7 linked regions of the Macaca mulatta genome follow. The main gene of each other region encodes a partner of the protein of the gene in region 7 in a complex. Links are inferred from orthologs where the notes say so. Each region holds a gene or a part of one and is shown on either strand. Other genes may lie near its edges.

Evidence for each region.
Region 1: SNRPD2 (region 7) and PRPF8 share a complex: the UniProt entries of both Homo sapiens proteins name them as parts of the U4/U6-U5 tri-snRNP complex. The link is inferred for Macaca mulatta from reciprocal best matches to the Homo sapiens genes SNRPD2 and PRPF8.
Region 2: SNRPD2 (region 7) and PRPF6 share a complex: the UniProt entries of both Homo sapiens proteins name them as parts of the U4/U6-U5 tri-snRNP complex. The link is inferred for Macaca mulatta from reciprocal best matches to the Homo sapiens genes SNRPD2 and PRPF6.
Region 3: SNRPD2 (region 7) and LSM2 share a complex: the UniProt entries of both Homo sapiens proteins name them as parts of the U4/U6-U5 tri-snRNP complex. The link is inferred for Macaca mulatta from reciprocal best matches to the Homo sapiens genes SNRPD2 and LSM2.
Region 4: SNRPD2 (region 7) and PRPF3 share a complex: the UniProt entries of both Homo sapiens proteins name them as parts of the U4/U6-U5 tri-snRNP complex. The link is inferred for Macaca mulatta from reciprocal best matches to the Homo sapiens genes SNRPD2 and PRPF3.
Region 5: SNRPD2 (region 7) and RNF113A share a complex: the UniProt entries of both Homo sapiens proteins name them as parts of the minor spliceosome. The link is inferred for Macaca mulatta from reciprocal best matches to the Homo sapiens genes SNRPD2 and RNF113A.
Region 6: SNRPD2 (region 7) and TXNL4A share a complex: the UniProt entries of both Homo sapiens proteins name them as parts of the U4/U6-U5 tri-snRNP complex. The link is inferred for Macaca mulatta from reciprocal best matches to the Homo sapiens genes SNRPD2 and TXNL4A.

What each region holds. Positions count from the first base shown.
Region 1 is NC_133421.1:3,240,491-3,244,534, forward strand, and holds the start of PRPF8 (pre-mRNA-processing-splicing factor 8), read right to left. Parts: upstream 2,801-4,044; 5' UTR 2,729-2,800; intron 2,530-2,728; 5' UTR 2,519-2,529; coding exon 2,419-2,518; intron 1,659-2,418; coding exon 1,490-1,658; intron 219-1,489; coding exon 54-218; intron 1-53. UniProt on the Homo sapiens protein: Plays a role in pre-mRNA splicing as core component of precatalytic, catalytic and postcatalytic spliceosomal complexes, both of the predominant U2-type spliceosome and the minor U12-type spliceosome.
Region 2 is NC_133415.1:116,916,315-116,919,814, forward strand, and holds part of PRPF6 (pre-mRNA-processing factor 6), read left to right. Parts: intron 1-234; coding exon 235-326; intron 327-1,364; coding exon 1,365-1,479; intron 1,480-3,500. UniProt on the Homo sapiens protein: Involved in pre-mRNA splicing as component of the U4/U6-U5 tri-snRNP complex, one of the building blocks of the spliceosome.
Region 3 is NC_133409.1:150,509,289-150,513,464, forward strand, and holds the start of LSM2 (U6 snRNA-associated Sm-like protein LSm2), read left to right. Parts: upstream 1-1,376; 5' UTR 1,377-1,586; coding exon 1,587-1,589; intron 1,590-2,198; coding exon 2,199-2,266; intron 2,267-4,176. UniProt on the Homo sapiens protein: Plays a role in pre-mRNA splicing as component of the U4/U6-U5 tri-snRNP complex that is involved in spliceosome assembly, and as component of the precatalytic spliceosome (spliceosome B complex).
Region 4 is NC_133406.1:116,799,243-116,802,742, reverse strand, and holds part of PRPF3 (U4/U6 small nuclear ribonucleoprotein Prp3), read left to right. Parts: intron 1-530; coding exon 531-837; intron 838-3,454; coding exon 3,455-3,500. UniProt on the Homo sapiens protein: Plays a role in pre-mRNA splicing as component of the U4/U6-U5 tri-snRNP complex that is involved in spliceosome assembly, and as component of the precatalytic spliceosome (spliceosome B complex).
Region 5 is NC_133426.1:126,364,799-126,368,021, reverse strand, and holds RNF113A (E3 ubiquitin-protein ligase RNF113A), read left to right. Parts: upstream 1-1,366; 5' UTR 1,367-1,581; coding exon 1,582-2,616; 3' UTR 2,617-2,723; downstream 2,724-3,223. UniProt on the Homo sapiens protein: Required for pre-mRNA splicing as component of the spliceosome. As a component of the minor spliceosome, involved in the splicing of U12-type introns in pre-mRNAs. E3 ubiquitin-protein ligase that catalyzes the transfer of ubiquitin onto target proteins.
Region 6 is NC_133423.1:1,023,969-1,028,093, reverse strand, and holds the start of TXNL4A (thioredoxin-like protein 4A), read right to left. Parts: upstream 2,801-4,125; 5' UTR 2,747-2,800; coding exon 2,594-2,746; intron 1,098-2,593; exon of another isoform or gene 985-1,097; coding exon of another isoform or gene 949-984; intron 1-948. UniProt on the Homo sapiens protein: Plays a role in pre-mRNA splicing as component of the U5 snRNP and U4/U6-U5 tri-snRNP complexes that are involved in spliceosome assembly, and as component of the precatalytic spliceosome (spliceosome B complex).
Region 7 is NC_133424.1:58,224,554-58,226,607, reverse strand, and holds the end of SNRPD2 (small nuclear ribonucleoprotein Sm D2), read left to right. Parts: intron 1-302; exon of another isoform or gene 303-437; coding exon 438-617; intron 618-1,253; coding exon of another isoform or gene 1,254-1,279; coding exon 1,280-1,454; 3' UTR 1,455-1,554; downstream 1,555-2,054. UniProt on the Homo sapiens protein: Plays a role in pre-mRNA splicing as a core component of the spliceosomal U1, U2, U4 and U5 small nuclear ribonucleoproteins (snRNPs), the building blocks of the spliceosome.

The sequences.
Region 1 (4,044 bases), on a different chromosome or scaffold from region 7:
CCACTGCCCCCAACCACCACCACCACTGCCCACCATATTTCAGCCTTTCTCACCCCCACTGGGAGATGTAGACAGGTTCAATAACCCAGGGAATCTCATTGACGAAGGAAATGGCTCCAGTGATGTGGTACAGCACAGGCACATCCCGAATCTGCTCCCAAGGCATAGGCATGTTCTCCAGGAGTTTGAGGACTGCGTGGGGCATGTACTTTAGGGCACTGGCACATTAGAAAAAGAGAAGGCTATTAGAAATGACGAGGTGTTCTGCTACCTGTCCCATGCAGAGAAGCCACACGTTCATGTTCCACAGTAAATCCTACCTTACAATCCAAACTCCCAGACTTAGCCCATAGGCCCTTCCTAACCAGAAACCCTGCCTCTCCCTCTACAACTTCATCTTGCAGCACTCTTCTTTTTTTTTTTTTTTTTTTGAGACGGAGTCTCGCTCTGTCGCCCAAGCTGGAGTGCAGTGGCCGGATCTCAGCTCACTGCAAGCTCCGCCGCCCGAGTTTACACCATTCTCCTGCCTCAGCCTCCCGAGTAGCTGGGACTACAGGCGCCTGCCACCTCGCCCGGCTAGTTTTTTTTTTTTGTATTTTTTAGTAGAGACGGGGTTTCACCGTGTTAGCCAGGATGGTCTTGATCTCCTGACCTCGTGATCCGCCCGTCTCGGCCTCCCAAAGTGCTGGGATTACAGGCTTGAGCCACCGCGCCCAGCCTCAGCACTCTTCTTAAATGTCATAGTCCCACAATGCTGGTATCAGCTCCTCTAAATCAACAGCTGTCCCTCTGGAGACAGCTTTGCGGCTGTCTCACATCCTATTCCCTCAGTATCTTCTCATAAATCATAATAAAGTATTCACCATACTTCACTATCACCAGTTGTCTCATGTCTGTCATGCCACTAGACTGCACACTGCAGAAAGGCGGAGATTGTTACCCTCTGCTCGCTACTATACCCCAAGCAGCCAGCACAGTTCTCAAACTATTTTTTGAAATAAACAAAACTTCCAGTTCATTACACGGCAAACGTTTTTGTGTCCAAATAGAGCAGGAATCTGCTAAGACATCTGTACCTGTACCCACCCAGTTTACAGCCACAGAAAAACAGCAGTAGGGATACCTCTGAAATTAAATACCCTAAACACAGAATTCAGGTCCCTGAGGAGTGACAGGCTGCCACTATGCACAGTCTCCCACTCTGGGCTTCAAACAGCTCAACGACAGGGATATCTTATAACAGCATCAACAGGACAAATTAAAGTCCCAGGCCCAGATCAGGAACAGAAGGGAAACAGACTGCGTAAGTGGAAGATGTAGAAATTATCAGAGACTCCTACTGGTTTTCTCCTTTCTCTTATATCCACCAAGATGAGCTGTCAAAGCAGCGTCCTGTTCCAAAATGACAGAGCATCTATCCAAGACTGTGGGACAGGGAAAAGGGAAAAGAACCAAATTCCAAATGAAGTTATTTCAGGATGTTCCTTACCCCAAGTAAACCCTTTTGTCATGGCGGAACTTTCTGTTGGTCATGTCTCCATGGTCTCGAATGATCTTCCTGACATGTTCCGGGGGCATGTCTTCCTTCTGGGCATCCACAAACCCAAACTTCCGCTTTTCTGCATAGCGCTTCGCCTGCAATTGCTGCCATTTTCGGGCTACAAAGGCACCTCAGTTTAAAGGACTGCACACCCTCAGCCTAATCCTCTTCACCTCTTGCCCTAGGGTAAGCTCCTGTCAGTGAGTGTGACAGAGGAGCAGGCATCCAGCAGGAAGCAACACTCCTTGCCAATTCCCTTACCACTTTACTATGTTTTTCCCTTCATCACATTTATTACTATCTGACTTTTTTTTTTTTTTTTTTGAGACGTTGTTTTGCTCTGTTACCCAGGTTGGAGGGCAATGGAGCGATCTCGGCTCACTACAACCTCCGCCTCCCGGGTTCAAGCCATTCTCCTGCCTCAGCCTCCCCAGTAGCTGGGATTATAGACACGCGCCACCACACACGACTAATTTTTGTATTTTTAGTAGAGATGGGGTTTCACAATGTTGGCCAGGCTGGTCTCGAACTCCTGACCTCAGGTGATCCGCCCGCCTGGGTCTCCCAAAGTGCTGGGATCACAGGTGTGAGCCACTGCGCCCGGCCTGACATTTTTATTACAGATCCTCAAGGTTTTGTTACTGTCTTTCTCTCCCGCTGTAATTTAAACCCCGTAAGGACAGGAATTTTGTCTCCATCACTACTGGATCAGCGCTTGCAGATAACACGCGCTTAAAATGACTTGATAAAAAGTTAAATGGGGCTAACAAGGGAGTTGTCACCTCGGGAGCTGCCCAAACGGGGAGGGTCCCCAGCCACCTGCGCGCGCGAACACCCGCCCCGCCTCCGGCTCGCGCGCCGCTCCACACTCGACTCACCTTTCTCCTGCAGCTTCTCCTCCGACATGTAGTCCGGTAGCGGGGCTAGAGGGCCGGGCACCGGGTTACCCGGCCCTCGGTAAGGAAATACTCCGGCCATACCCGGAGAATCTGGACAGCGGCGGGACAGAAAAATTCACTAACCACAGGCCCGGGCCCACAAGAAGCGCAGCAGAAAGGCGTCCGGGGACCCGGGCCTGCAATCCCGCCACACTGAGTGCATCCAGCCCCGCCCGGCCTAACCCCTTCGGTCACTCAGCCCGACCCGACCACGCCTCCCGCAGCCCGGCCTTAAACGCCTGCCACGCACCCCACAACCCCTCACACAGGGGGCCGCTTTCTCCGGAGCGCAATGGCGGCCAGTGTGCGTCCGCTCCGCGTTCCCAGCGCCGGAAAGTGCGCAACCCGACTTCAGCAGTTGATCCAATCGGCGCCGAGGTGCTCAGATGGATTGGTAAGATGGCCAATTAGAGTGGCACACTGCGCCGAGGAGGCGGGCCCACAGGCGGAAAGGCTTTGAATACAAGGGGGTGTGGTCGGGGAAGCCCCGCCTCCCACGTTTCCGAGGCTGTTCCTGAGGCCCCCGACAGACCTCAGTGTGTGATAGGCTCCCGGCGTCGCCCTGCGAGAGACCGAAGTCTGGAAGCTTTTAATAAATTTGCCAAGATTGCGCATTGTACGATGTCTGTTGTCATCAATGTATACGTGCAATGCAGTACTAGCTCCAGGACGGTCATTTGTTCATGCATTCATTCTTTTTTTTTTTTTTTTTTTTTTTTTTTTTTTTTTGAGACGGAGTCTCACTCTGTCGCCCAGGCTGGAGTGCAGTGGCCGGATCTCAGCTCACTGCAAGCTCCGCCTCCCGGGTTCACGCCATTCTCCTGCCTCAGCCTCCCAAGTAGCTGGGACTACAGGCGCCCGCCGCCTCGCCCGGCTAGTTTTTTGTATTTTTTAGTAGAGACGGGGTTTCACCGTGTTAGCCAGGATGGTCTCGATCTCCTGACCTCGTGATCCGCCCGTCTCGGCCTCCCAAAGTGCTGGGATTACAGGCTTGAGCCACCGCGCCCGGCCGCATTCATTCATTTAACCATTCTTTATTGAGTGCCCACTGTCTACCGAGGACGAGGGATAAAGCAGGAAAAAAGACAACCAGTAGGGTTCACAGGGGAGCAGAAAGAATCAAGCTCATTGGGGGGGGGGGGGGGCGGTAGCTCACGCCTGGAATCGCAGCCTTTTGGGAGGTTGAGGCGGGCGGATCGCTTAAGGCCAGGAGTCCAAGGCCAGCCTGGCCAACATGGTGAAACCGCGTCTCTACTAAAAGTACAAAAATTAGCTGGGCGTGGTGGCATGCACCTGTAGTTCCAGCTACTCGGGAGGCTGAGACAGGAGAATCGCTTGAACCCGGGAGGCGGAGGTTGCAGTGAGCCGAGATCGCGCCACTGAACTCCAGCCTGGGTTACAGAGCGAGACTCCGTCTCGGAAAAAACAAACAAACAAAAAGTCTGAAATTCCCACCAAGTTTATTGGGGAGGATGCAGAGGAATTGTAACCCATACAGCCCCTCAATCTAGTTGAGAATTTACAAATCAAAGTGAAATAATTAGAAAAAAAAATGCAAAGGATGTC
Region 2 (3,500 bases), on a different chromosome or scaffold from region 7:
TCTGGACAGCGTCAGTTTCTGAGGTGTTGCCCTTGGGGCGGTTGCCAGTGGGGCTGGCAGGGATGTGGGCGGCAGTGCCTTGCTTCTGTGGTGGGTGAGCTGTGCTGTGCAGGGAATGGAGTTCTTGCTGCTGTGACTGGGTGGGGAGCCTTTTCAGACAAGGCTTCCCAGAAGCTTCCAGAATATGCGCCATTGGTAGATGGCTGTGGGAGCTCCCGGGGCCTGTCTCCTCAGGCTGGAGTCCGTGCGGCTGGAGTACCGTGCAGGGCTGAAGAACATCGCAAATACGCTCATGGCCAAGGCGCTGCAGGAGTGCCCTAACTCTGGTAAGGGGGTGCTTTCTGGCTTCCCAGACTCAACAGGGCTGGCGCTTCCTCAGGGAGTGGGGACTCAGGCTTCCGACAGACTTTATTAAAATGTTTTGTTTGTGTGAATCATTTCAGTCAAAAGTTTCAGCTATACTTGGCCATTAAGACATTTTAATGAAATTCCTGGCCTCAAAATGGGAGAATTTGATTTCATGTTCTGAAGTGTTATCATTTCTTTTTCTTTTAAAATTAAAAGAAATTGGCCAGGTGTGGTGGCTCACGCCTGTAATCTCAGCATTTTGGGAGGCTGAGGCGGGAGGATCGCTTGAGTCCAGGAGTCCGTCGCTTGAGACCAGCCTGGGCAACATAGTGAAACCCCGTCTCTATAAAAAATACAGAAAGTAGCCAGGCACAGTGGCACGTGCCTGTAATCCTAGCTACTTGGGAGACTGAGGCACGAGAATCACTTGAACCTGGGAAACAGAGGGTGCAGTGAGCCGAGATCACACCACTGCCCTCCAGCCTGGACCACAGGAGTGAAACCCTGTCTCAAAAAACAAATAAATCCGTCAGGAGCGGTGGCTCACGCCTGTCATCCCAGCACTTTGGGAGTCCGAGGCGGGTGGATCACCTGAGGTCAGGAGTTTGAGACCAGCCTGGCCAACATGGTGAAACCCCGTCTCTACTACGATACACAAATGAGCTGGGCATGGTGGCGCACGCCTGTAATTCCAGCTACTTGGGAGACTGAGGCAGGAGAATTGCTTGAGCCTGGGAGTGGGAGGTTGCAGTGAGCCAAGATCGCGCCATTGCACTCCAGCCTGAACGACAGAGTGAAACTCTGCAGAGTGTCCTGTCTGTGCCCTTGGGGCTGCCATGGTTTTGGGTGGGCCAGAACACTCATCCTTCGTGGTTCTTGCACAAGTTCTGCAAGCAGTGTGTGGGAGGCCCCGTCACCGTCTGAGGACGTCCTGGGTTAGAATCTCTGTAGGCTGGGCACCTTTCCGGAACCAGAGGCTGGAGTGCAGATCTTTGTTCTTTGTTTCTGAATTGCAGGTATCCTGTGGTCTGAGGCCATCTTCCTCGAGGCGAGGCCCCAGAGGAGGACCAAGAGCGTGGATGCCCTGAAGAAGTGTGAGCATGACCCTCATGTGCTCCTGGCCGTGGCCAAGTGAGTGAGGCGTCCCCACAGGATTGCTGACCCTTGGGGTCCTCATGGGCTCTTTTTCCAGTCTGTCTGCCTCTCCCTGGTCATTGTAAAGATGCCCGGCGGCAGGGTGCGCTCCCCCGATCCTCGGCTGCTGTCACTCCTGCTGTGGTCCGGGGCAGGCGCCTCTCCCGGCAGAGACAAACCTGAGGGTGCTGCAGCATTGTGGGCTTCTGTCCCAAAGCCCTGGGGAGGGACAGCCAGTCTCTCTCTCTCTCTCTCTCTTTTTTCTGTTTCTCTCTCCTTCCCTCCCTCCCCAGGGATCCCCTGGGTGTGGTTCAGCCCTTCCTCTGTTCCGGCTTCTTCTAGGAGGCTGCTCTCTTCGTCTCTGCAATTTTTTAGTTTACACCTACACAGGCCTGGGTTACAGGATAGATTTGCTGATGTTGGTTCACACAGAATTTTAAGTGGTAAGCGAAGCCCCTTTGGACAAGAGGCTTTATGTTGGGGCAAGAAATCACTTGCAGCTCTGTGGCCCGTAAATAATCCAGAGCTGGAGACTGGAGCCTAATTTGTGTGCCCAGGGGTGCCACGATGACTGCTGGAGGCTGTCTCAGAAGACGTGGTGTGAAGGGGAGGCAGAGATCCGTGAGTGACCTCACACCATGTGATTCACACTCGGGTGTGCTGGCCGCTGGGTCAGAGACTCGCTGGGGACATGACTCTGAAACCTCGAAGGCAGCTGCTTGGAGCCGTGGGGCAGAGCGTGCAGATTCTAGGCACATGTGGGCAAAGGCCTGCCACGTGCGGGGCACAGCAGGGAGCTCGGGGCCATCCCCAACCCACAGGGTCTCTGTTTCCTTCTAGAAAGAGGATGACAGTCTGAGAAGGAGCTGGGCCTGAGTGTGCATCAGGAGGCTGGGAAGTGACCATGTAGGGGTGAAGGGAGTTCTTAGAAGAACCCTGGACTCCTGAGGCTGCAGCTCAGGACATGGGCTCACCTGGCGGAGGTGGTGTGTCTGACCCCAGCGGCGAGGGGCCTCACCTTACGTGCCCGGCTTCCCCTCCACCTGCCCTGCCATGGGTCATGCAGAGACAACAGCCTTCCTAGTGCTGGCTCTTGATTCTCTCCATCCCTTCTCCCCAGCACTGGGTGGCAGTGGTGCTTGGTCTCCAGAGGTCTGGGTGCTGCCCCCGTAGGCCTGCCTGTAGGGGCACCTCCTCTCCCCTGCCCGCGGGCCCCTGACAGATGAGAGAGGCTCCCCACAGGGTGGCTTGTGTCTGCCTGGTGCTCCCTTGGTCCTCCCCTGTGCGTCCACCTCCCAGAGTGACTTCTGGGTGACACTCTGATAGTGCAGCCATAAAACCTTATAAAAGGCTTTGCTAAAGTAAATAAGTCACTCCTTGCTATTCCCAAGCCAGTGTTTTGTGTGCCTGCTATCTGGGTTTGTGCTCCTTAAATCACAGTTTATCTAACACTGGGCAATTAAGAATACCACAAGGCTTAAAAAACAATCAGGTTATCAGAGTGTGAAATTATTCCGTTTGGCAACTGAGACGAACCCAAACAGCTGCCTGGAGTGGAGGGTTCCTCGTGTCGTCTCTTGACTGCAGTGCCTCTGGCTCTAGGGGGAGGTGACCCCGAGGAGAGGGTGGGAAGGGTGGCAGCAACGCAGAGTCCCAGGCCTGCCAGCGTGCCCAGCAGCAGTGCCCGCCATCCTTTCTCCAGCAGTTTGGGGGGGTGCCATGCACACCCCCAACCTGGCCTCTGATAGTCCAGCATGGACCTCTTCAGGCCTGGTTTTCAGGTGTCCATGTGTCTGGCAGGCACGGTGGTATCAATCCTGTGGCCTGAGAGCTGTGGGCCGCAGGCCCAGGCCCTGGTGCTGCCCGAAGTCCATCTTCTCAGTGTTCACTGGGGTTGCTGCTGGAGGCCAGGCGGGGCAGGATGATCCAGCAGGTGTCTCAGTGAGGAGCTGAAACTGTGTAACTTTCCCTCATCAAAGTTGTAGTTTAATTTTGTGTCAGGTTTAGTTTCATCTCCT
Region 3 (4,176 bases), on a different chromosome or scaffold from region 7:
CTTATCTCTGGGACTCCTCAACATTTTTTTGTTTTTTATAATTTTCTTTTTTATAGACAGAGTCTTGCCCAGGCTGGAATGCAGTGGGGAGATCGTAGCTCACTGTAACTCTTGGGTTCAAATGATCCTCCTGCCTCAGCCTCCCAAAATGCTGGGATTTACAAGCCTCAACATTTTGTTGTTGTTGTTGTTTTGAGACAAGAGTTTCACTGTTGTTGCCCAGGCTGGAGTACAATGGCACGATCTCCACTCACTGCAACTTATACCTCCCGGGTTTACAGGCGCGTGCCACCACACCTGGCTAATTTTTGGGTTTTTAGTAGAGACAGGATTTCGCCATGTTGGCCAGGCTGGTCTAGAACTCCTGACCTCAGGTGATCCATTTGCCTTGGCCTCCCAAAGTGCGGGATTATAGGCGTCAGCCACTGCGCCCGGTCAATTTTTTTTTTTTTTTTTTTTTTTAAGACGGAGTCTCTCTCTGTCACCCAGGCTGGAGTGCGGTGGCCGGATCTCAGCTCACTGCAAGCTCCGCCTCCCGGGTTCACGCCATTCTCCTGCCTCAGCCTCCCGAGTAGCTGGGACTACAGGCACCCGCCACCTCGCCCGGCTAGTTTTTTGTATTTTTTAGTAGAGACGGGGTTTCACCGTGTTAGCCAGGATGGTCTCGATCTCCTGACCTCGTGATCCGCCCGTCTCGGCCTCCCAAAGTGCTGGGATTACAGGCGTGAGCCACCGCGCCCGGCCAATTTTTTTTTTTTTTTTGAGACGAGTCTCGCTCTGTCGCCCAGGCTGCAGTGCAGTGGCATGATCTTGGCTCCCTGCAACCTCCACCTCCCGGGTTCACGCAATTCTCCTTCCTCAGCCTCCCGAGTAGCTGGGATTACAGGCGCCCGCGACCACGCCTGGCTAATTTTTTTTGTATTTTTAGTGAAGACGGGACTTCACCATGTTGGCTAGCCTGGTCTCGAACTCCTGACCTCACACAATCCATCCACCTTGGCCTCTCAGAGTGCTGGGATTGAAGGCGTGAGCCACCGCCCTCGGCCTTTTTTTTTTTTATCAGCTGAATTTAAGATTAAAAACATTTTTTAATTTTATTTTTTGAATTTTATGTTTTTACTTTAACAAATATAGAAAAGTGCACACTTCATAATCTTCACAAACTCCCCACAATTCTCGATAGGATGTGTGTAGAGGGCACGAACACATCACGCTGTGGACGGCAGGGTTATGGAAAACAAAACCTTTTGAGCTCAGACGCCGAGTGCCTCCACCCGCCTAGCAGCCCAGGCTAGGGTCCGCGCCTGCGCAATGGGAGCCGGCCGGCCCTGGAAGAAGTCGGAACGAAGGAAACCCCGCCCCTTTCCCGGCTTCCTCCTCCCCTCGGTTTTACCCAGCTTGCGCTCCCCAGCCGCAAGTCGGCCGCGCTTTACCCTTCAGCGCTTGGAGGGTTCTGCGTCCCTTCCCGCTGCGCCTGCGCGGTCCCGCCTCGCCCCACGCGCGGGCTCGCGCTTCGGTTCTCCCAGACCTGGTCTCAGCATCCGGCTCTTTTCTCGCTCCGGCCCGCTGCCCGCTGCGCCAGCACCATGGTGGGTACCGTGACGTCAAAAGGGGTCGCCCTCGGGGATCTCGGACGGTTGGGGCAGGGGGGTCTGGCCTTTGTCCCCCTAGGCTGGAGTTAGGTCCGGAGTTTTTATCTTCATCGTTAGTCCTGTTCCTCAAGTTCGTTGAGGAGACACCTGAGAGCAAATGGGATTTTTTTTTTCCATGATGAGGAAAAAAACCCCAACCCTGAGAGAGATTCAGTGGGGACAGCGGGAGACGGAAAAGTTAGACCTTAGAGCACTTCTCTGCCAGGCAAGCTTCGGCAGGGTGCGGGTGGGATGTTTTCTGTAATTCATTGAAAGGAGTGGGCAGGTACCCGAGAAAGGTGGTCGATTGAGAGAGCACACTGGGGAGGCCGAGGTATGCAGGGCAGAGCCTCTCTGGGACTTTAAGTGATGGGCTCAATGCAGTGTGCAGAATAATTTGGGCTCCAGCCTTTCACCTCTCAACCAATTATTCTTTCCTGTGAAATTTTGAGAACTGTTAGGGATGCAATGGGGTTCACAATACCGGTATTTGGTAATACTGTCAAGGGACACTCCTCCCTACCATGTTCCTTCCCACATGATGGTTTTCCCCCTCTCTCCCAATAGCTCTTCTATTCTTTTTTCAAGTCCCTTGTGGGCAAGGATGTGGTCGTGGAACTCAAGAATGACCTGAGGTAGGTACCTGTTCCAACAAGTCTGTTGGGGGTGGGTGTGCCCAGGGCCCTGGAACCTCTTTAATTTGAGAAATATTTGAGGGCTGGGTGAGGTGGAATATGTACAGAAGAAATAAATGGCCGGGTGCGGTGGCTCACGCCTGTAATCTCAGCACTTTGGGAGGCTGAGGTGGGCGGATCACGAGGTCAGGAGATCAAGACCATCCTGGCTAACACGGTGAAACCCTGTCTCTACTAAAAATACAAAAAATTAGCCAGGCATGGTGGCAGGCCCCTGTAGTCCCAGCTACTTTGGAGGCTGAGGCAGGAGAATGGCGTGAACCTGGGAGGCAGAGCTTGCAGTGAGCCCAGATCACGCCACTGCACTCCAGCCTGGGTGACAGAGCGAGGCTCTGTCTCAAACAAACAAAAGAAATAAATGGGTGGGGTGCAGTGGCTCACGCCTGTAATCCGAGCACTTTGGGAGACTGAGGAGGGAGGATTGCTTGAGCCCAGGAGTTTGAGGCTGCAGTGAGCAGTGATTACTCCATTGCACTCTAGCCAGGGCAATAGAGCAAGACCCCATCTCTAAGACAAATTTTAAAATTTAACAATAAATAAATGCCTTGTGCCTTAAATTTACAGATAAGCTTGGGGATTGTATTGTGTATTGGAAAACAATACAAAGCAATATACAGTTTAAAGAGTAAATACTGGTCAGGTGTGGTGGCTCATGGGCTGGACGTGTGGCTCATGCCTGTAATCCCAGCACTTTGGGAGGCCGAGGTGGGTGAATCACGAGGTCAGGAGTTCAAGACCAGTCTGGCCAAGATGGTGAAACCCCGTCTCTACTAAAAATACAAAAATTAGCCAGGCATGGTGGCAGGTGCCTGTAATCCCAGCTACTTGGGAGGCTGAGGCAGGAAAATCGCTTGAACCTGGGTGGCAGAGGTTGCAGTGAGCTGAGATTACACCACTGCACTCCAGCCTGGGTGACAGAGTGAGACTCTGTCTCAAAAAAAATAAATAAAGAGTAAGTACTAGGCTGGCCATGGTGGCTCACACCTGTAATCTCAGCACTTTGGGAGGCTGAGGCAGGAGGATCACTTGAGTCCAGGATGTCGAGACTAGCCTGGGCAACATAGAACCATTTCTATAAAAGATTAGCCAGATGTGGTTTACATGCCTGTAGTCCCAGCTATTCGGGAGACTGAGGTGGGAGGATCACTTGAACCCAGGAGGTCGAGGCTGCAGTGAGCCATGATTGTACCACTTTACTCCAGCCTGGGTGACAGAGGAAGACTGTCTCAAAAAAGAACAGGCCAGGCCAGGCGCAGTGGCTCACGCCTGTAATCCCAGCACTTTCGGAGGCCGAGGTGGGCGGATCACGAGGTCAGGAGATTGAGACCATCCTGCCTAACATGGTGAAACCCCATCTCTACTAAAAATACAAAAAATTAGCCTGGTGTGGTGGCGGGCGCCTGTAGTTCCAGCTACTTGGGAGGCTGAGGCAGGAGAATGGCATGAACCCAGGAGGTGGAGCTTGCAGTGAGCCAAGATGGCACCACTGCACTCCAGCCTGGGCGACCAGAGCGAGACTCCATCTCAAAAAAATAAACAAAAAAACAGAACAGGCCATAGGCTGGGCATGGTGGCTCATGCCTGTAATCCCAGCACTTTGGGAGGCTGAGGTGGGTGGATCACAAGGTCAAGAGATTGAGACCAGCCTGGCCAACATGGTGAAACCTACGTATTAGATATGCTACTGTGTATCTAATACCTAGTATAGGCCAGTTGTATGATAGGTGCTTAAGGAAAGAAAAATAATATCTGAAGACCTATTGACTAAGCACTATTCTGAATACATTTATTGATTGATTTCTCAAACACTCCTTAGTAATATGTACTATTGCTGTTATACATATGAGGAA
Region 4 (3,500 bases), on a different chromosome or scaffold from region 7:
GCTCCCTGCAACCTCCACTTCTTGGGTTCAAGGAATTCTGCCTTAGCCTCCAAAGTAGCTGGGACTACAGGTGCCCATCTAAATTTTGTATTTTTTGTAGAGATGGGGTTGCACTATGTTGCCAAGGCTGGTCTCGAACTCCTGGGCTCAAGCGATCCACCTGCCTCAGCCTCCCAAAGTGCTGGGATTACAGTGTGAGCCACCACGCCCGTCCATCCAATAACTCTTATGGAGAAGGCACTGCACCCTCAACTTCTGGGCTCAAGTGACCCTTCTCAACCTCCTGAGTAGCTGGGACCAAAAGTATATGCCACCACACCCAGCTAATTTTAAATTTTTTGTTGAGATGGGATCGCCTTGTGTTGCCCAGATTGGTCTCTAACTCCTGGGCTCAAGTGATCCCTCTGCCTTGGCCTCCCAAAATGCTGTGGTTCTAGTCTTGAGCCACCACACCTGGCTTTATTTTGTTTGTTTTTTTGTTTGCCTTAATGTTCCATACAGGATTTATTTCTTTGCGGGCTATTTTTCAGGAAGGTGGAGTTAAAAGACCAAACGAAACCTACACCACTGATCCTGGATGAGCAAGGGCGCACTGTAGATGCAACAGGCAAGGAGATTGAGCTGACACACCGCATGCCTACTCTGAAAGCCAATATTCGTGCTGTGAAGAGGGAACAATTCAAGCAGCAACTAAAAGAAAAGCCATCAGAAGACATGGAATCCAATACCTTTTTTGACCCCCGAGTCTCCATTGCCCCTTCCCAGCGCCAGAGACGCACTTTTAAATTCCACGACAAGGGCAAATTTGAGAAGATTGCTCAGCGATTACGGACAAAGGTATCTGGCTTATAGTATAACACAGAATTTAGAAAAAGTTAAGAAGCTGAAAGGAAAACATTGTAAAATCTCTATGTTCTAGGAAATTAGATAAATAGGTCATTTAAAGCAGCAGTCCTCAACCTTTTTGGCATCAAGGACTCATTTCATGGAAGACAATTTTTCCCCTGGAGTAAGGATGGTTTTGTGATGGTTTAAGAACATTACCTTTATTGTGTACTTTATCATTATTATTATTTTTGAGATGGAGTTTTGCTCTTGTTGCCCAGGCTGGAGTGCAATGGCATGATCTCGGCTTACTGCAACCTCTGCCTCTCAGGTTCAAGTGATTCTCCTCGAGTAGCTGGAATTACAGGCATGCACAACCACGCCTGACTAATTGTGTATTTTTGGTAGAGATGGGATTTCTCCATGTTAGTCAGGCTGGTCTTGAACTCCTGACGTCAGGTGATCTGCCCACCTTGTCCTCCCAAAGTGCTGGGATTACAGGCGTGAGCCACCACACCCGCCTTTTTTTGGCAGGGGAGCGGGGACAGAGTCTTGCACTGTTACCTGGGCTGGAGTGCAGTGGTGCAATCTCAGCTCACTGCAGCCTCCACTTCCTGGGTTCAAGCCATTCTCCTGCTTCAGCCTCCTGAGTAGCTGGGACTACAGGCGTGCGCCACCATGCCTGACTAATTTTTTGTATTTTTAGTAGAGACAGGGTTTCACTGTGTTGGCCCGGCTGGTCTTAAACTCCTGACCTTGTAGTCTGCCTGCCTTGACCTCCCAAAGTGCTGGGATTACAGGCGTGAGCCACTGTGCTGACTTCTATTATTATTCTATTTTAATATATGATGAAATAATTATATAACTCACCATAGTCTAAAATCATTGGGAGCCTTGAGTTTGTTTTCCTGCCGAGACGGTCCCATCTGGGTGTGATAGGAGACAGTGACAGATCATCAGGCATTAGATTCTCATAAGGAATGTGCAACACAGCCCCCTGGCATGTGCAGTTCACAATAGGGTTCACTCTCCTATGAGAATCTAATGCCACCGCGGATCTGACAGGAGGTGGAGCTCAGACCATAATGCAGGTAATAGGGAGCAATTGTAAGTACAGATGAAACTTTGTTGGTTTGCCTCCTGCTCACCTCCTGCTGTACAGCCCAGTTCCTAAAAGGCCACAGACTGGTGGGTTGGGGACCCCTGATTTAAAGCAATGAATAATTTGAAAATATGCAGGACGAGGTGGCTCAAGCCTATAATCCCAGCGCTTTGGGAGGCCGAGGTGGGTGTATCACAAGGTCAGGTGTTCGAGACCAGCCTGCCCGACATGGTGAAACCCCATCTCTACTAAAAATACAAAAATTAGCCGAGCGTGGTGGCGGGCACCTGTAATCCTAACTACTTAGGAGGCTGAGGCAGGAGAATCACTTGCAATTGGAAGGTGGAGGTTGCAGTGAGCCGAGATCGCGCTACTACACTCCTGCCTGAGCGAAAGAGCGAAACTCCGTCTCAAAAAAAAAGTTTTAAACAGATTTTACTTCCTAATTAGTTTCTACATAAGTGGAAATACTCAATTGAGTTTGAAAATTCTCCACATACAACTAAGTGGAGGGAAACAATTTGAAACACTCTGACTGACTGAGGAAGACTTGCCTGGAGTTAAAATTTCCTGCAGAAAGTACACCTGGAGAGTTGAATTGATTGTATATTGAATGACCTTTGCCTTCTTTTTATCCTCTCAGTGAGGTTTTCATAAAATTCTATTTCTGTGTATTTACTGCAGGCATATACTGTGGAGTGAAGGGAGAGGGTGAAGGTGAGGATCTATGTAAATGAACTAAATAAAGGATAAAATAAAGCAGAACAACTCCTTTCTAAACTTTCAGAATGAATTTGTTGCATTAGGTGTAAAGAGTTCAAAGGGGAAATGTTTTAAAATTTGGGATTATTGGCCAGGCGTCATGACTCATGCCTATAATCCCAGCACTTTGGGAGGCCGAGGTGGGCGGATCACGAGGTCAGGAAATTGAGACCATCCTGGCTAACACGGTGAAACTCCTACTCTACTAAAAATACAAAATAATTAGCCAGGCGTGATGGCAGATGCCTGTAGTCCCAGCTACTCGGGAGGCTGAGGCAGGAGAATGGCGTGAACCTGGGAGGTGGAGCTTACAGTGAGCCAAGATGGCGCCACTGCACTCCAGCCTGTGTGACAGAACGAGACTCCGTCTCAAAAAAAAAAAAAAAAATTGGGAATCTGGCCCCGCACAGTGGCTCATGCCTGTAATCCCAGCACTTTGGGAGGCCGAGGCAGGCAGATCACCTGAGGTCGGGAGTTTGAGACCAGGCTGACCAACATGGAGAAACCCCATCTCTACTAAAAATACAAAATTAGCTGGAGTTGGGGGCGCATGCCTGTAATCCCAGCTACTCCAGAGGCTTAGGCAGGAGAATGGCTTGAACCTGGGAGGCAGAGGTTGCTGTTAGCCAAGACCATGCCATTGTACTCCAGCCTGGGCAACAGAACGAAACTCCATCTCAAAGAAAAAAAAAAAATTGAGATTCTACAAATTCTGTTTTCTATGATTCCAATTTATCTTTCTGTCTTGGATTATCTTGTTTTTAGGCTCAACTGGAGAAGCTACAGGCAGAGATTTCACAAGCAGCTCGAA
Region 5 (3,223 bases), on a different chromosome or scaffold from region 7:
TAAAAATGCAAATTAGTAGTACAAGAACAGAATCTCCTAAATAAAATCAGACCACTACACTTTAGGATTAAGTTGGTGACCGTGACTTCTTACACTATTTTAACCAACATGAATTTCTTTTCCTTTTTAAAAAAAAGAAAAAAAAAAGAAATATCTAGTTGTTGCCTTTTGGGACACTAAGAAACAACAGCTGTAGATCACACGTGGACAATCACAAATTCAAAAAGTAAATAAATTTATACTCTGTACTCTAGAGATGATGTGAAGGGCTAAGAGGGGAAAATGAATCCTGATGTAAAACACAAGACCTTGCAGTAAATTCCTAAACGCTTGCAAGAGAAAGTGGGGAATAAAAAAGTCAAGGGTGGCCGGGAGCGGCGGCTCACGCCTGTAATCCCAGCACTTTGGGAGGTCAAGGCGGGTGGATCACCTGAGGTCAGAAGTTCGGGACCAGCCTCGCCAACATGATGAAACCCCGTCTCTACCAAAATAAATAAATAAATAGCCGGGCGTGGTCCCGGCTACTCAGGAGGGTGAGGCAGGAAAATCTTTTTTTTTTTTTTTTTTTTTTTTTGAGACGGAGTTTCGCCCTTGTTGCCCAGGCTGGAGTGCAGTGTCGCGATCTCGGCTCACTGCAACCTCCGCCTCCTGGGTTCAAGCGATTCTCCTGCCTCAGCCTCCCGAGTAGCTGGGATCACAGGCATGCGCCACCACGCTCCACTAATTTTGTATTTTTAGTAGAGATGGGGTTTCCCCATGTTGGTCAGGCTGGTATCGAACTCCCGACCTCAGGTGATCCGCCCGCCTCGGTCTCCCAAAGTGCTGGGATTACAGGCGTGAGCCACCGCGCCCAGCCAGGAGAATCTCTTGAACCCGGAAGGCGGAGGTTGCAGTGAGGGATTCTCAGGCTTGAGCCACCTCTTCTAATCTACCTTTCCGGCCCCCGCGTCGCTACTCTGCCCTAAGGCCCACTTTGATACACCCAGAAACGCTGTTTTTCACCAGAGCAGGATGTGGTTTCTACCGCGCTTCGTTTCGCAAGCCTCGGCTTCTAGGCAACCGGAAGAAAATAGAGGGCCGGCCTCGGAGAGAGGGTCCGCAGGCTGACGGACTCTCTGCCCACCATCCTTTTCAGAAATCAGCCAGTGGAGTCAGCCCCCGGGCCCAGGAAGCCGCCTTACCTTGCCCCCGTTAGTGAACCTCTGGATGTACGCAGTAGCCAGTCCTGGAATAAACAAGCACACGCCCATGGCGGCGAGTCCGGGGAGAATCTCGAACCACATCTCTGCCCCGTTATCTAGGCCAAAACCCTACTTCTGGGTCCTTGAAAGGTGACCGGGCTTCGGCTCCCTTCCCAGTAAGCCCCGCGGCCGCCCGCGAGCGGGGCGGTGCCACGTACGGCTCCGGAGGAAGCGACGGGATCTGCCAGGGCTCAAGAGAGGCTGGCGCTCGCGCTCTCGCAGTTCTCTTCCGTCAGTGTCTTTTGCTTCGACTCCCGGCGGAGCGCGCGACGTGGAGTAACGCGCAGAGGCCAAGTGCAACCCAGGCAGCGACGGCCGTTTCGGAGCTCGGGACTCTAAAATGGCAGAGCAGTTTTCTCCAGGGAAGACGGCGGATCAGGTGTGCACCTTCCTTTTCAAAAAGCCTGGGCGGAAAGGGGCTGCTGGACGCAGAAAGCGCCCGGCCTGCGACCCAGAGCCCGGAGACAGCGGCAGCAGTAGCGACGAAGGCTGCACTGTGGTTCGACCGGAAAAGAAGCGGGCGACTCACAATCCAATGATACAGAAGACTCGTGACAGTGGTAAACAGAAGGCAGCTTACGGCGACTTGAGCAGCGAGGAGGAGGAGGAAAATGAGCCCGAGAGTCTCGGCGTGGTTTATAAATCCACCCGCTCGGCGAAACCCGTGGGACCAGAGGATATGGGGGCGACAGCTGTCTATGAGCTGGACACAGAGAAAGAGCGCGATGCACAAGCCATCTTTGAGCGCAGCCAGAAGATCCAGGAGGAGCTGAGGGGCAAGGAGGATGACAAGATCTATCGGGGAATCAACAATTATCAGAAATACATGAAGCCCAAGGATACGTCTATGGGCAATGCCTCTTCCGGGATGGTGAGGAAGGGCCCCATCCGAGCGCCCGAGCATCTACGTGCCACGGTGCGCTGGGATTACCAGCCCGACATCTGTAAGGACTACAAAGAGACTGGCTTCTGCGGCTTCGGAGACAGCTGCAAATTCCTCCATGACCGTTCAGATTACAAGCATGGGTGGCAGATCGAACGTGAGCTTGATGAGGGTCGCTATGGTGTCTATGAGGATGAAAACTATGAAGTGGGAAGCGATGATGAGGAAATACCATTCAAGTGTTTCATCTGTCGCCAGAGCTTCCAAAACCCAGTTGTCACCAAGTGCAGGCATTATTTCTGCGAGAGCTGTGCACTGCAGCATTTCCGCACCACCCCGCGCTGCTATGTCTGTGACCAGCAGACCAATGGCGTCTTCAATCCAGCGAAAGAATTGATTGCTAAACTAGAGAAGCATCGAGCTACAGGAGAGGGTGGTGGTGCTTCCGACTTGCCAGAAGACCCCGATGAGGATCCAATTCCCGTTACTTAGCTGTCTGATAATTCTTAAATTTAAAAAATAAATATTTTGTTCTTTTGGAAGTCTTAATTCGTGTCCTTCCTTTGTAGAGACAGTGACAGAGAAGGCGGGTGGTGAAGTAGGGTCCTGGATTAAAAACCTCAAGGTAGGTATAATCAGGATTTTTAGCCCTAGGATAACCATTTTGCCTGTGTTTCTTTTCAGAACATTTTGGCATCAATTATAGGGGTGGGAGTAGTTTGAGAAAAGAGCTATAATTTGCTTGAAGTAGCCAAAGCTATGACGAAAGTAAGAACTCTGAGCCTGTTTATCATATCACATTTCTGTATCACTTAATGGTTTACAAAGTACTTTCATGCATTCTTTCTCTTGGGAGCCTGTACTACAAAATATACCGGAGCCAAGGTGTTGGGGAGAGGGGTTGCGTTTGGGGAATTGGTAGCTAGTACCACAGGCTTCACATATGGGAAATGTTCCTTGCTGTCTGGGTTATTTATTTATTTATTTATTTATTTATTTATTTTTGAGACGGAGTCTCGCTCTGTTGTCCAGGCTGGAGTGCAATGGCGCTATCTCAGCTCACTGCAACCTCCGCCTCCCGGGTTCAAGCGATTCCCCT
Region 6 (4,125 bases), on a different chromosome or scaffold from region 7:
TGTTTCCAGACTAACTTTCTTCCTGAAGTTCACAGCTCAGCTCTAACCCAGCATGAGGCCAGTGGGCCTTGTGGAAGCAGCAGATCAATACAACACATCCAGGAAAAAATCGTATCAAGTCCAGCCGAACATCTGCAACTGTTACTCACTTTAAAACAGCTGGGACATCGACAGGACTCTTAACAAGATAAGGAAGATTCTCCATTATCTGCCATTTCTGCACAGGGAAATTTTTAAATAGTTATATTGTTCTTTATACTAAAATCTTACATTTCAAAAATTTCTGTTGAGTTTCCCCAAAAGAGCTTCCAGAATTAGAAAGTCATATTTTGCCCATATACTAAGAAGAAAATAAAACACGAATAGTCTTTTAATGCATTTCAGGTTTGCACTTATTTTTGGAGACAGGGTCTCACTCCTGTTGCCCAGGCTGGAGTTCAGTGGTATAATCATGGCTCACTGCAGCCTTGACTTCCCGGGCTCAGGTGATTCTCCCACCTCAGCCTCCCAAGTAGCTGGGACTACAGGCATGTGCCACCACGTCTGGCATTTGTACTTTTAGTAGAGAACGGGTTTCACCATATTGTCCAGGCTGGTCTCGAATTCCTGGGCTCAAGTGATCTGCCTACACTAGCCTCCCAACCAAAGTGCTGGGATTACAGATATGAACCACCGTGCCTGGCCTAGGTTTGCGCTTTTAATAATTATACTATAATATTTGCATTAAAAGTTTATTAATAAAGCAATCCAAATTTTTGGACAGAAACAAAAATCAAACTATTTTAAAAGACCAAAAAAAAAAAAAAAATACCCCAAAGTGAGCCCATTTCAACTGTCCTTAAGTGTGTGTCCACTAGTGATACAGTGATTCATTCTGTAATAACAAAGAAATCGGACATAAAGGAATTGGAAAAAAAGAGCAAATCTGGCAAAGACCCTAACACTTACATTAACACATAAAATCTGTTTCCTAGCTAAGAGCATCTTGCTGAGCTCTGCCTGGATGTGATGAGACAAAGGCCCTCACATCGCCAGCCATCCTAGCCTCGAGCTGCCGGCAGCAGGATCTGAACACCAGCTGATGTTTATGCCACCACCTGCAAGGTAGAACAGTGAAAGATTCTAGAACTCGTAACTCAAAGTCAGTGATTTACAAGCAGTGATTTACTTATTGGGAAACTGCTCTTCGTCAATTCTTCGCTGGATTTCCAGTATCTGCCCTTGTCCACTACAAGTCAAGCAATGAAAAGCTGATGTGCTGGCACTGCCTCACTCATCATCTCTAATCCCTGGCTGGCAGAAGCCCCAGTGTGAGAGAACTGCTGCTCTCCTGATTCCCTAGGCAGCTCCTCAAGTCCTCAGTGTCCTGCTGTCCAAGAGGAAGAGGCTGGGAGATGGCTGGTAATAAAGCACTCCGCCTCTGTCCCTGACCCCCATGGAAGGGTTTCTGAGTGTGTGGTTCAAGGTCAGGTCACATCAGAATTCCCTGAGGGGCTTCTTTAAAAAGCCATTGCTGGACTTCACCCCACACCCATAGACTCAGAATCACAGATGCATTTTAGTAAGCACTCCAAGAGATTCTTGTAATAACTAAAATATAACAACAGTTCCTAACATCACACCTCTCCTACTAAATAAGAAATAGCAAGAATTAATAAATGGCAGGCCAGACAGTCTTTCCTTTCCTCAATATAAAATGTCTTTATATCTGTTACTCTTTACTCAAAGGAGTTATTTTAACCCAGCCTACTTTAGCATCTGTGAAAGAAAAGATAGCTTCAATGTTACTTTTACTCTTCATCAAAATGAATAACCGCTCAAATTACTTACGGAAAATTAATATGGCAAATATTTTATTAACACCCTAGTATTTGTGCCCTTTGCCCTATTGCTACAGCTGCAAAACCTAAATAAACGCCATCCTAAAATTGCTGTGAGGAACCACAGAAAAAGAATGAAACCTGGTTATAGTGTCCCACAACTTTTATTGTCAGCAAGTAAGTGCCAAGGCCACTCAATGTACTAATATTAGAAATTCAGAAAACTAGTTCCAACAAAGCATAGTTCTATTTTCTCCCGATGTTTTCTGCATCTTAATCACTCTAAGCTATAAATCACATGACTTACAAAAAGCGCGGTGGAAGAAAACACCAACAGAAAAACAGGATTTCTTATGCTATTAACATGAAAGTTCTGCTTTACACATACAACAAACAAACAGGGCACCAGAAAAGGGCATCCTTTTAAATTAAGGATCTGCGCTCTCAAAACCTGCAAGTGTTACTTTGTTCACTGCACTGTAAGATTGGGAAAAACGCCTTACCAACAGAAATAATGAATTCCTTCGAGGGGAGGGGGATCATAAACCCTTTAAAACGTGAACAACTACAGGAGCTCCCTGCAGAAAAAGGCGCGAAACGCCGGCACAGTCCCCGAGAGCGCTCGCCCGCAGCGCGGGAAGGAATCGCCCGGACAACCGCGCCGCGGCCCCTCCTCGGGGAACGGCTCGCGCCCCCAGGCGAGGCCGGCGGGGCAGAGGCGCGGGGCCGCTGCGGAAGCACAGCCAGCAGGGCGGGAGGGCCCGGCGCGCTACCTTCTCGGCGATGCTGTATAGGACCTCGTCCATCTTCATGCAGGTGGGGTCCCAGTCGTGGCCGAAGCGGATGACGACCACGCGGTCCTCCTCGGAGAGAATGGCCTGGTCCACCTGCCAGCCGTTGTGCAGGTGCGGGAGCATGTACGACATGGCGACCCGCGCGCTCGCCGCCGCCCGAGGCCGGGCGCCAGGGAGGGCCCAGCGAGGTGGTGGGCTCAGCCGGCCCCTCACTCCGCGGCCCCCGCCGCCCCCGGGCCCACAGCCGAAACCCGGTCCCACCCACACCCGCAAGCTCCGCTGGCACTGCCGCCGGGCGGAACCTCTGGGCGCGCACGCACCGACGCCGTGCGTGCTGACGTCATGCGCACGGGCTGGCGCCGTGCGTGCTGACGTCACGCGCGTACAGACGCCGCGCTAGCTTGTCGTTGGCCGGCGGGAGCGGCGGCGACCTGGCCACGGTGGAGCGCGGTTGGTGCCCTCCTAGCCGGCGTCGGAGTGGGGGTTCCTCCCCAGCGTCCAGGCGGCCTGGTGGTCCTGAGAAGCCCCGGGCTCGCCGTGCCCTGCCCCGACGCACCCGCCCCGAGGCCGCCCGCCGCCGCCCGGGCTGTCCTCCAGCCACGGATGGGGACGTCTTCAGAAAGGCCCGGCATGCCCGGCACTGCGGCTCGTTTTTTTCCTTTCTGGTGTCTGTTTCGGGTCATCGTTTGTGCTGTGTGTTAGCGAGACGGTTCGTGTGTGTCATTTGTGAAACTTGACCATAAAAATGTGTCGTTGTTGCCATACCCAGCCACGGCAGAGCCGAGCAGCGGGGTGGGGGGAAGCACTGGGCAGGCCGTCCTTGAGGAATGTCACCGTCAGGCCGGCTGCTGAGCTGCCTGTTGTAACCCGAAACCAGAGTTTTTGTCTTTTTATAAAGAAAAAAAATTTTTTTTGAGACGTTGTCTCGTTCTGTCGCGCAGGCTGGAGTGCAGTGGCGTGATCTCGGCCCACTGCAGCCCCCGCCTCCCGGGTTCAAGCGCTTCTCCTGCCTCAGCCTCCCCGTAAGCTGGGACTACAGGCGCCAGCCCGGCTAGTTTTTTTGTACTTAGTAGAGACGGGGTTTAACCATGTTGGCCAGGCTGGTTTCGAACCCCTGACCTCAAGTGATCCGCCCGCTTCGGCCTCCCAAAGCGCTGAAATTACTGGAGGAAGCCACCGCGCCCGACCTGAAGCCAGTTTTATTGCATAGCTTCAGCATAACTTGCACCTCCAGGACTGATCTGGCTCCCCCGGCTTCGCTCCCCAGACCCTTACTGGTGCCTATGAACTTTCTCCAAGAGAAATAATATTTCTCTTTTTAAAATAAAACCTCTAATCTCTGTTCTTCTGAGAGAGCACTTTGGGTTCATGTTAGAGACTCCCCCTGGTTTGCAAACTGACATTGACAGTAAAACTCTTGTCTACTATCCAGCCATCCTGGTGGTCCTTTGGATGACAAATTGACAACAAATCATGCCCGGGCGCGGTGGCTCAGGCCTGTAATCCCGGCA
Region 7 (2,054 bases):
TCAGCACTTCGGGAGGTCGAGGCGGGTGGATCACGAGGTCAGGAAATCAAGACCATCCTGGCCAACGTGGTGAAACCCACTGTCTACTAAAAATACAAAAATTAGCTGGGCGTGGAGGTGGCGCGCGCCTGTAGTCCCAGCTACTCAGGAGGCTGAGGCAGGAGAATCGCTTGAACCCAGGAGGCAGAGGTTGCAGTGAGCTGAGATCGTGCCTCTGCACTCTAGCCTGGCAACAGAGCAAGACTCTGTCTCAAAAAAAAAAAAAAAAGAAAAGAAAAAGAAAATGTCTGTTAGGCATCCAGCTGGTGATACTCAGAAGGCCAAACAGGACGGATGTGATGGGACAAGGCTGGGGAGACATTGAGGCTGAGGCCCTGACCACCCATCCTCACAGCTCCAGCCTCTCTCACTTGTGGGTTCCATGTTTATCCATGCAGGAGCCTCCTCAACAAGCCCAAGAGTGAGATGACCCCAGAGGAGCTGCAGAAGCGAGAGGAGGAGGAATTTAACACGGGTCCACTCTCTGTGCTCACTCAGTCAGTCAAGAACAACACCCAAGTGCTCATCAACTGTCGCAACAATAAGAAACTCCTGGGCCGTGTGAAGGCCTTCGATAGGTGAGTGCTGGGTCCTGGGAGGTGTTCTGTGCAGGCCTAGAGAGGCTGCCCTAGCTCCAGTCTGAAGAGCTCAAAGACAGGTTTCTCAGACGCCTGGGGTGTATGGCCCAGGGTGGTGGCTCATGCCTGTAATTCCAGCACTTTGGGAGGCCAAGGCGGGTGGATCACCTGAGGTCAGGAGTTCGAGACTAGCCTGGCTAACATGGTGAAACGGCATCTCTATTAAAAATATAAAAACCGGGCGTGGTGGTGCACACCTGTATTCACAGCTACTCAGGAGGCCGAGGCACGAGAATTGCCTGAACCCAGGAGGCAGAGGTTGCGGCGAGCTGAAATCGCACCACTGCACTCCAGCCTGGGCAACAGAGCGACACTCTGTCTCAAAAAAAAAAAAGAAAAAAAAAGATAATATTCAACGACCTTGTGAGGAAGGTACTGTGATTGTCTTCCCTCTTAAAGATGAACAAACTGGCACAGAGAGGTGCAGTCCTTTGCCTCAGCCTCAACCTAAGGACTGGCAGAATTGGCCTTGGCAGCTTGGTCATCCAGCCTAGCACCTGCATCCTTCCCCAAGCCATGCTGCTGGAGGGGGCGAGCAGCAGGCAGCGCTGTCAGAGGCACCCCCCTCACACCCAGTGCCTCCCCTCCCTGTTCCCCACCAGGCACTGCAACATGGTGCTGGAGAACGTGAAGGAGATGTGGACTGAGGTCCCTAAGAGCGGCAAGGGCAAGAAGAAATCCAAGCCAGTCAACAAAGACCGCTACATCTCCAAGATGTTCCTGCGTGGGGACTCGGTCATCGTGGTCCTGCGGAACCCGCTCATCGCCGGCAAGTAGGGGCTGCCTATCCATCGACAGAACTCACTCTCTCGTCCTATGAAGACCATTGCCATTGGTGTTGAGAATAATAAAGCTCTGTGGTTTTTTTCTAGTGGTATGTGTTCCCAGAGCCTTGTGAGTGGGGTGGATTCAGGAGGGCTTGGGGGAGGCAGCTAATATCAAATTGAATGCTGGGACCAGGACCCGTGAGCAAGTGGAGAGGCCCTGGCTCTGCCCCATCGAGGCCTCACTTTCCCCCTCCGCAAAGCAAACAGGTTGGATGGAAATGAGCACCCAGTTGTGGCACTGGAGAATATTTTAGTTCTCCTGCTTTAATCTTTCTGAGCTTCGCCTTGTCACTCTGTTGCTCTCTTCTCTGCCTCTTAAAATGAATTGGCCTCGCTTGACCAAAATATCTTTTGGGGCCAGGCATGGTGGCTCACGCCTGTAATCCCAGTAGTTTGGGAGGCTGAGGCGGGCAAATCACCTGACATCGGGAATTCAAGACCAGCCTGGCCAACATGGTGAAATGCTGTCTCTACTAAAAATACAAAGATTGGCCAGGCGCAGTGGCTCACGCCTGTAATCCCAGCACTTTGGGAGGCCAAGGCGGGTGGA